Linked DNA regions of Mus musculus. The main gene of each other region encodes a partner of the protein of the gene in region 2 in a complex. Links are inferred from orthologs where the notes say so. Each region holds a gene or a part of one and is shown on either strand. Other genes may lie near its edges.

Region 1 (4,837 bases), on a different chromosome or scaffold from region 2:
TTAAAAATGGGCTGATTGTCAGAGGGTTGTGGCCGTGGGGTCCCGTGCTCCATGTGCCAGAGGTTGCACGGCCAGACTACAAGGGACACAGGTCTTTTCCTAATTCCCAGCTGTTCCACAGGAGCACAGAGTCCCGCCCTGGCCCCGCCCCAGCCCCTGCCTGGGCTGCTTCTCTTGTGGCAGACGCTTTAGGGAGGCACCCCAGCCTGAGGAACCTCAGGGCCCAGGCTCCCTGCTAGCCAATCCTTTTCTCAGGCCCTCCTGGTTCCCCTGGGCAGAGAGAACAGGCAGGGGCCAGTGCTAAGGGGATGCCATATGGAGGAAGACCAGGTTCTGGTGTTTCTAGGTGTGGTCTTCTTGCCACAGCCCACCAGGTGAAGCCGGCTGGGCTGCGGGACCAGGCGTCCAGGTTTCTCCCATCCCTGTGCTAGTCCCTGGCTGTGCTGTGCTCTGCCCTGGACCACGGTGTCTGATCAAGGTGTCTCCATGGCTCTGGCTTCTCCAAAGATCAAAGTTACAGAGCAGGAAGGGAGGGAGATGCTCACATGGGCAATTTTATTAAAAAACAAAACAAAACAAAACAAGAACAAAAGACCAAAACATCACACAGAAGTTCACCCCATAGAAGGAAGATCCCTGGGGCTGGACCGCTCTCCTTTGCTGCTAAGTGTCCTGCTGCTGCACGAAGGGGTTGGGGATGGCCTCCATGCCGTCCTGTGGGCAGATGAGCACCACCGAGGTGCCACGACATACGACAAGCCCCAGCTGCCGAGTGTCCTCCGTCAGCTTGTACTGGTCATCAGGGTCTGGTAGGATGAGAGGCAAGAGGACTGAGGTGCATATCTATCCATAGGCATGCCACAGCCGGGACCTCAGGGGCCTGAGAGTTCTCACTCACAGCTTCTGGGGACTGACAGATCCAGATGCTCTCAAAACACCTGACCAGCAGAGTCTAAACCACAGAACCACGAAGGTGGCTGAGGGAGGAGCCAGACATCTCCAACTTCAAGAACGCTAGAGCCCATGCTGACCCCGTAAACACCAAGGGCATCTACTGAGCAGCAGATGCACTGGAGAGGGTGGGCAACAGGAGGAGCTGGTAAGCAGTCAGACATAACTGTCACGAGGGCTGGAGACAGGAAACCTGGTGTGGGGGGCAGGGGTCTGCTCAGGGCACTACAGGGTGGACCTGCTTATACAGAGCTGAGATCCAGTGAGCCTTGGAGTCTCTGATGCAGGTAGACATTCCTGGCCGAGGACAGCGGCCACCATTCCTGCTGTCCTGAGGGCTGAGGATAAAGCCAGCTACCTGAGGAGAGTGAGCTGGAAGTCTCAAGCCTGAGGCCCTCCCGGCAAGCACACCAGTCCTCTGGTGTTCCAACACTGCACCCTAAGTCACCACCTGCTGTAATCTGACCCCACAGGTCCCCAGCACCGTCCTACAACAACCTCGGCCGGCTCACCTCTCATGTACTCCATGGTCCCATCCAGCACCAGGTTGAGCAGTGGGTCAAAGCCCTTCAGGATACCGCTGGCTTGAGGAACACGGGCGAGACATGGAGAAGAATGTCAGTCCACCCCGTAACACATATAGAACCTGGTATGGCAGCTCAGGAACAGTTGCCACCACAGAACTCATGAGTAAGTAAGTGTGGTGGCCTAGTCACTGTGACTCCAACCCTCTTCTTTCCAGTATGGAAGGTGCTATATAGTGTCCATAAAACTTTATTGTCACCCATCCATGCAATCTGAAACAGTCTCCCCCCCCCCCCCCAGGGTCTCATGTGCCCAAGCTGGTCTCAGACTCACTAGGCAGCCTGATCCTCCTGTCTTACCCCTAGTGTTGGAATGCCAGGCTTATACAACCACGCCAGGTTTACACGGGGTTGGGAATAGAACTCAGGGCTTTATGCATGCTAAACCAGCAATCTACCCACAGACATACAGCCCCACCCATGGTTGATTCTTGGAGACAGATCTTGCTACATAACTTAAACTGGCCTGGAACTTTCAATCCTTTCATTGGGAAACCTTCCAGGTTCCTGCTGTGTCCAGGTGCTTAAGAACAGGGCTTCCTATCACCTCCTTCCACCTCCTCGTGGGTCCTGGCCCCTTCCTTCAGGATCCATCCATACTGGTCTGGGTGCTAATCTCACTTGACTCCTTTCCTGGGGCTCTGTTTCCCCACCCACAATAGGGGCATACCTTTCAATGGTACACAATAGCCCAAGCCATTATTGGAACGCCTGTACTAGGTGGCTTCCCTTGCTTGCTGTGACCTCAGCCAAGCTCTGTGTCAGGGAGCCCTGCGGTAGGCACTCACCTTCCCGGCCACCCTGGAACTTCACCCGAATGGTCTTATCGATGTACTTGGAGAGGTCCAAGATGCTTTCTTTCTTCTTTTTCTCTTTGTCCTGCTGGGAGGTGGGGCGCTGAGGAGAGAGGTCCAGCCTCCCCATATCCCTGTAGCCTGGGCATGGCACCCAGGGACTCCTTTCCAACTCAGGCTCCCAGAACCCTGGGTGCATCCTCACCTCCAGTGTCTGCCTAATTGAATGCTATGCCCGAGTCTGCATTTCTGTCTGCATGCCCACGTCCTCATCTGCATCCCTGGATACCCCATCTGCACTGTTTCCTGTACGCACCCCTGTCTGCCTGGTCTGCAACCCCCACGTTCCGCGTCTGCATCCTCATGTCGGTCGTCTGTTTTTCATGTCACCTGGTCTGTACCCATGGCTTCCGTCTGCAGTCCCACGTGGCTCCCATCCTTCAGCACCCTGTCTCCCTACTCTAGGGCGTCCGTCACTCTCCTTTCAGTCTTTCTGCTCTCGCTTCCACAGACCCTCGATCCCGCGGCCCTGCTTTCCACGATCTAGACATGCTCACCGCCATCTTGTCGCCTCACGTCGCTCTGCGCAGGCGCCGCCCCGCCCTTTTCTAACGCGGAGGCCTTTGCGCACGCGCAGCCTCGGCGCAAGCACGTTGCGGCGTCCCGAAGGCGTTGCCAGGAAACCTTCCGCCTAGAGCTGCGGGGGGACCGGCGGACATGGCCGCGGCGCGGCTGGCCGCAGCTTTGCTGCTACTCGCGGCCCAGGTGAGCGCCACGGCCGATCGGCCCGGCCCCCCAACTCCTGACCGTGCCCTTGACCTTGCGGTCCACTCGCTCATTGCCACCGCAGACTTCTGGCGGGGCTTAGCCCGCCCTGCGCCCCGGGGCCCCAACCGCCGCCGCCGCTGTTCCTGCCAGCCTCAGTTTCCCCTTTTGCAGAATGGGGCGAGTTCCCGCGCTCCATCCCCGGGGCGTCCAGCGCGGCCCCCGAGGTGCATGCAGCCCGGCACCCCGGCTTCTGTTCTGTGACCTTGGGCGGAAGGGGGTCCCCACCTCAGGGTCGGTGCAGAACGCTGGGGACGAGCTTCTGCTGGGACGCCTCAGGTGTGCGCGGGGTGCGCCCTGGCAGGAGGCTGGCTTCTGGTGTGCTTTGCTTTCTGAGAGAGGTGGCATGCTGGTCTCGAACTCGGCGTAGTCCAGGCTAGCCTTGAACTCACTATGTAACCCATGTTGGCTTCACACTCACTCTGCAGTCCAGGCTGCCCTCCAACTTGCTCCGCAGCTCAGGCTGGCCTCCAGCTCGCTCTGCAGTCCAGGCTGGGCTCTGACTTCCCATGTTGCCCTGGCTGTCCCTGTGCACCCGGTGAGGCTTGGCTAACCTGGAACTCAAAGCAAAACACCGGCCTAGTTATCTCACGCGCCGCATCGCAACTCCTGGCTTAGTAGAGTCCTTTCTTGTTTTGTCTTTGTGGCTCCAGCCTTCAGTCCCAGATCCTGGAGTGTTGCATCCTTGGGTCTTGGGCCGGTTTGAAGGGTGGCCAGTGCGTCCTGCTACTGTGTACGCTCTTGTCTTGTGAAACAAGAGCCCAGGTCATTTTTAAAAATACTTTTTCTTTTCCTTTTTGAGATTACAGACTTTTGTGACAGGGTCTCCCTGTATGGCCCAGGCTGGCGGTGGGCTTGCAGCTCTGCCTCAGCCTCCCCGGTGCTGCCACAACTGGCTGGCATGTGCCTCCTTGATTGGCTAAGCTTTAAGGCATTCCTCACACATGTGGTTCCTGGGCTCTCCACCATGTGGCCAACATCTCTCTTTGGCTGCTTTTATCCCCACATCCTGTTCTTGGCTGAGCATGAGCTTTTGAAAGTGTGTCAGGGCTTGCTGCATCTGGCCAGTGGGCCAGGGCTCTACATCATATTTAGCAGGCCACTGTCCTCTGGAAACTGCCCTCTTTGTGCAGGTGCCGTCCACCAAGGCTATTCTGGTTTCTCCTTGTCTTTTTTTTTTTCTTTTCTCTTTTGATGGAGGAACTCCCCTGGCTATGCCATCTCTCCTGGCTGGACCTGCCCTGGGGCCAGTCCATGTCTTTTTTTGTGGGTCTCTTTTTTTGCTAGTCTGATGGAGGGCTTTCAGGGACAGTGACAGTGACAGGTTCTGAAGGATGAATAGGAGTTTGCTGAGGACGGGAAAGGAAAGGGGCCGTGGGCATCAGGTGCTGACCCAAGGTGTAAGAGATGGTGTTTTCCTGGGATGAGCTGATTTCAGTGTGCATGTGGGTCGTGTTCCTGCAGAAGGGAGTGCTTGCTCTTGGGGAAACTGTTTCCACAGAACGACGAGACTTCAGTTCTTACTCAGGGCTAGAGGCTTTGGGAGGAAAGGGTGGGCCTGGCTGGACAGTGAGTCTGTGTGCTGGGGAATTGCTGGGCGGGTGATGGGTGTCGCCTGGACTTTATCCTGCATGGTTTAGATGCACCTACTTCTCATATCTGGTGGGGAGCAGACAGGGTGCC
Region 2 (4,023 bases):
TGGCTGGCGTAACCAGCCATTGCACCAACACTCTCAACAGGGAGCAAGTTAACATGAAGAGTCTAACTGCACAGGAGGCTTCCAGGCAGTGTCTCACCTCACGTGGCTGACCTTTCCAATTCCTGACTCTACAGTTGCACTCCTTTGTGGAGATACCACCACTAACTAGGTGACTAAATAAACAGCTGATTTTCTGACCTCTTGTCCCTTTATAGCCCAAGGCTGAAACCATATGACTTTCTATCTACCTGCTTTAAATGGTACGGATGGTGAGTAGAGAAAGAGACAAAGGATGCCTCCAGAATGCTTGATCACAGGTTCCGGGATGTACCACTTAGTCAGCTGAATACGTAATCAACCAATGGAATGACAGGGCAGGAATCTTAGGTAAAATAATCCTGGAGAAACAAACTGTTTTAGTTTTAGCATTCTGTACAGGCAGAAATGATAAAGACTGAGACATAAATGTGAAAAACTTAAGAGTCGATCTGTAATGCAATACCTCTATCTTATTCCAATGTCAATTAAACAAACAAACAAACAAACCCCCACCAGCCACCATGAAAACAGGCCAACTAAGATGGTAAGAGAACCAAAACCACTTCATCTATCCATCTCTGAAGAGCACTGCCTCCTGGTGTCTTCACATCCGCCTCTTCTGTGTACTTATGTACAGCACTGGAAAGACAAGAGAACGAGCAGTCACTCGAGGGGCACAGCATCGGTTCAGTTTTAAAGGCATTCATGGGTCCTGGCCTACACCTCGAACACTTTAAAAGACTGTTTCTACCATGCAATGAAGGTCTCTATAAAACAAGCTTTGCGTCTAGACCGGGCTTGGACATCTTACCTGATTATAACTAGTCTTATCTATGCATGTTACTGACTTTACAAATTATGACTGGGAATTAGAAAAGTGAAAGTGCCTAAAATGTAAGAATGATTTGTAAATAGCTATATCACAAGTTTTGAAAAGGGCGAATCAGCCAGATCTGTTAGGTTAGGTGTCACATTCAGAATGACTAGCACATGTGTCTGGAGAGACGACGCCCATCACTTAAGAGCAGATGTAACTTGCAGATGTTACGGAGCAACAGGGCTGGGTCCCCAATTCCTACAAAGCAGTTCACAACCAACTGTAAATCTAGTTCCAGGGAGTCCAGTGACCTTGTGTGGCCTCCTCAACTACCAGGCACGCATATGATGTACTTACAGACATGCAGACAAACACTCATACACATGAAAAAAATGTAAAAGAAAGAAATGGCATTATTTTCGTTTATCTCCCCAGTTTACTCTGTAAATTGGTTTACTCTGATAATTTCCATAGGAGGAAAAAAATGAGAAAACATTTTTAAGAAAGCAAAGTCCTTATTCTGAGATTAGTATAAACCTTTGGTGTCATCCAACATGTATTTTCGCCAGTCATTCTTAGCACAGTGGAATGTGTGCTGCACAGAGATAGGACAAAAGGGGCTCTGGTCAGGCTGTCACCTAAGGTGTACCCTCCCTCTCCCATCCCACACATCTTCAGATACGAACAAGCTTGTTCAAAGTGAACAGTAGATGTTTCCTCAAAGAGTCCAGCACAGACTTCAATCAAGTGAACTAGGATCCTCTTTAAGACCCAACTACAAGTAGTAGGAATAATGACACCTGTTACTGAGGATGGCAGTAAAGTGTAGGAGCCATCAGAATAGGAGGAAAGCCACTGCCTGGGAAACCAGACAGGCTAGGTGGATGTCAGTGTAGGAATGGCTCCTGCTATGGGGGCTACTTAAGAGCATAATATTTCCAAGCAAAAGGAGGAGGGCAAGTAAGAATAACATGAAATAGAAGAAATTCTACTGAACTGCAAGCAAGGTATGTCTACAAAAGTCAGGATATTTAATTCCTAACGAGACCTAACTTTTAAGGCTTTTAAGAAGAGAACTTGAGAGCCACGCCTTCTGTCCTACTTCTGACACACGGAAAGGTACAAAGCTCCACAAAAGGCACCTAAATCTTGAACAGAAAAAGGACAAAGGACAGGCTAAATGTCAAGGGCGTTTTGTGGCACAGGATGGCTTCCACTCCCAGACAGCACTGCGAGAGTACAGTATGTGGTTGTGTGCCGCACACCCTCTGGGTCCCTGGTCTAATGGGCCTGCTTAGTATACCAATACCCCTCAGCAACTGAGAAAGAGAATTTCTAGTTCCAACCTCCATGGAAAATCCTCTTCCCACTCACAAACAGACCTGGTTTATACTAAAGACCTAAAATATAAGTACAACAAACAAGCAAAAGTAAAGAGAACCTTAACACTTAGACGCCCCGCAGCTCCCTATTACACGCAGGAACGGCCTATTCTGAACACTCAATGGAAGGGAAGCTCTTACCATTGTTTCCTCGGATGAACGCATCTCCGTACTTATTCTTCAGCTGTCCATTTACATACTCCTCTGTCTGTTCCAGGGCTATATTCATGTAGCCATCCAGGCAGGCCAGGACCCCTGGAGAAAAGTAAGACAGAATTCAAAATTACAGGCTATATCTTAGAACTGACAATCACTTTATTCATTAGCCTTCAGACACATAATATAAAAATTCACACTGTAAACAAAACTCAATAGACTTAAACACAAAAGGCGCCTGCCTTTCCTCGGTGCCCCTGTGAATGAAGGCTGGGCGGGCAGAGCATGAGAGGAGCTGTGCATCCACCACAAGACAGGCAGCCAACTGTCACTCCCTCCTGGGACGTGTGCTCACCACAGCAACTTTGAAAGCCTTCACAAAAGTATAAGCATTAGAATATTCCAACCAAAATGCCCTTCTATGGGAGCCCGGGACAGACATGGCAACTATGCAGGGACAAATGAGCCTCCATCGAGGTGACATTTGTTACTTCAGCCACTCGCTCGCTCGGTGAAATAGGGATCTGGCAGTTTGTCTCAGTCTTTCACAACATCTACTGCAGCAGATGAATGGACCCAGGGTGAAGAGGAAGTCTCCACAATCTGTTAAGATAATAGACAGCAGGTGCTCCTGAGAGACCATCTCAGAGCTGTGGCTCTCAGCGAGGAGCAGCTTGGGAACAGAGAGCAACATATTGCATTACAACACACTGCATTCTGTTTTGTCAGAGTTGGACTATTTTTAAAATCAAAACTAATAGAGAAAAACGGCTACAAACATGCCAGGGAGCTTTCAAGGAAAACAGCTCGGGTGGATTTTTACTCGTGTTAAGATGGCATAAATTTCTAAAATCTGACCAGAAGATTTTTTTCAAAAGATGAAGCTAGTAAGCTTCTAATTCTCATCTCTAAGCAAAACTGATATTTTAAAAGAGAATAAAAACACACCACAGATTCAATTCAATTAACTAAGTCAATAGTCCCATTTAAGATCTTAACTTCATTAATATGCTCCTGGCTCTCTGCTCTGCCCCCATTATCCTCTAGACAGAGGTTTCTTTTCAAATCTCTGTGTGTGTAATCTGAGCACAAGACATTAACCGAACAGAATTCTATGAGAAGGGATAAACTTTCAAAGAATCAGACTGGACTGTCAACTATCAAGAACAATAACTTCCTAGCCAAAGAAAGCTTAAGACAGTCTCCCAGTTTGCTTCTTCTCTGCTATGCTACACTGAAAGCATATTCAGAGACGAGTAGGAAACTTGCACTGCATGATATGGAATTAGACAACAGGGTCATTCAAAATGTAACATCACTATTATTCACTGTTTGTGAGTTGAGACTGGGAGGGAACAAGCAGAAAGAAAAAGGGCTTGAAGATAGCTGGCTATCATAGGACGACCCTGACTCAAAAGCAAGTAACCAAACATACACAAAATATTGGCAACAGGCTATTTACGTCAAAAAACTAAGACAAAAACAAAGTGATTTCCCCCTCTATGTTTTTAAAGATTTCATTTTACTTGTTATGGTGTGTATGGGTGTAGGTACATGCACACGAGTATAGGTGTCCTCAGAGGCCAGAGGTTGGAGCTGGAGTTCCAGGAGGTTGGGAGCTGCCAATGT

The links.
Region 1: Lsm6 (region 2) and Lsm7 share a complex: the UniProt entries of both Homo sapiens proteins name them as parts of the precatalytic spliceosome. The link is inferred for Mus musculus from reciprocal best matches to the Homo sapiens genes LSM6 and LSM7.

What each region holds. Positions count from the first base shown.
Region 1 is NC_000076.6:80,852,295-80,857,131, forward strand, and holds Lsm7 (U6 snRNA-associated Sm-like protein LSm7), read right to left. Parts: upstream 2,916-4,837; 5' UTR 2,893-2,915; coding exon 2,887-2,892; intron 2,863-2,886; exon of another isoform or gene 2,767-2,862; coding exon of another isoform or gene 2,731-2,766; intron 2,418-2,730; coding exon of another isoform or gene 2,415-2,417; coding exon 2,324-2,414; intron 1,536-2,323; coding exon 1,464-1,535; intron 807-1,463; coding exon 664-806; 3' UTR 531-663; downstream 1-530. Other genes in the region: Sppl2b (signal peptide peptidase-like 2B), read left to right, coding at 3,047-3,094. UniProt on the Homo sapiens protein: Plays a role in pre-mRNA splicing as component of the U4/U6-U5 tri-snRNP complex that is involved in spliceosome assembly, and as component of the precatalytic spliceosome (spliceosome B complex).
Region 2 is NC_000074.6:78,807,568-78,811,590, forward strand, and holds part of Lsm6 (U6 snRNA-associated Sm-like protein LSm6), read right to left. Parts: intron 2,494-4,023; coding exon 2,380-2,493; intron 679-2,379; coding exon 644-678; 3' UTR 1-643. UniProt on the Homo sapiens protein: Plays a role in pre-mRNA splicing as component of the U4/U6-U5 tri-snRNP complex that is involved in spliceosome assembly, and as component of the precatalytic spliceosome (spliceosome B complex).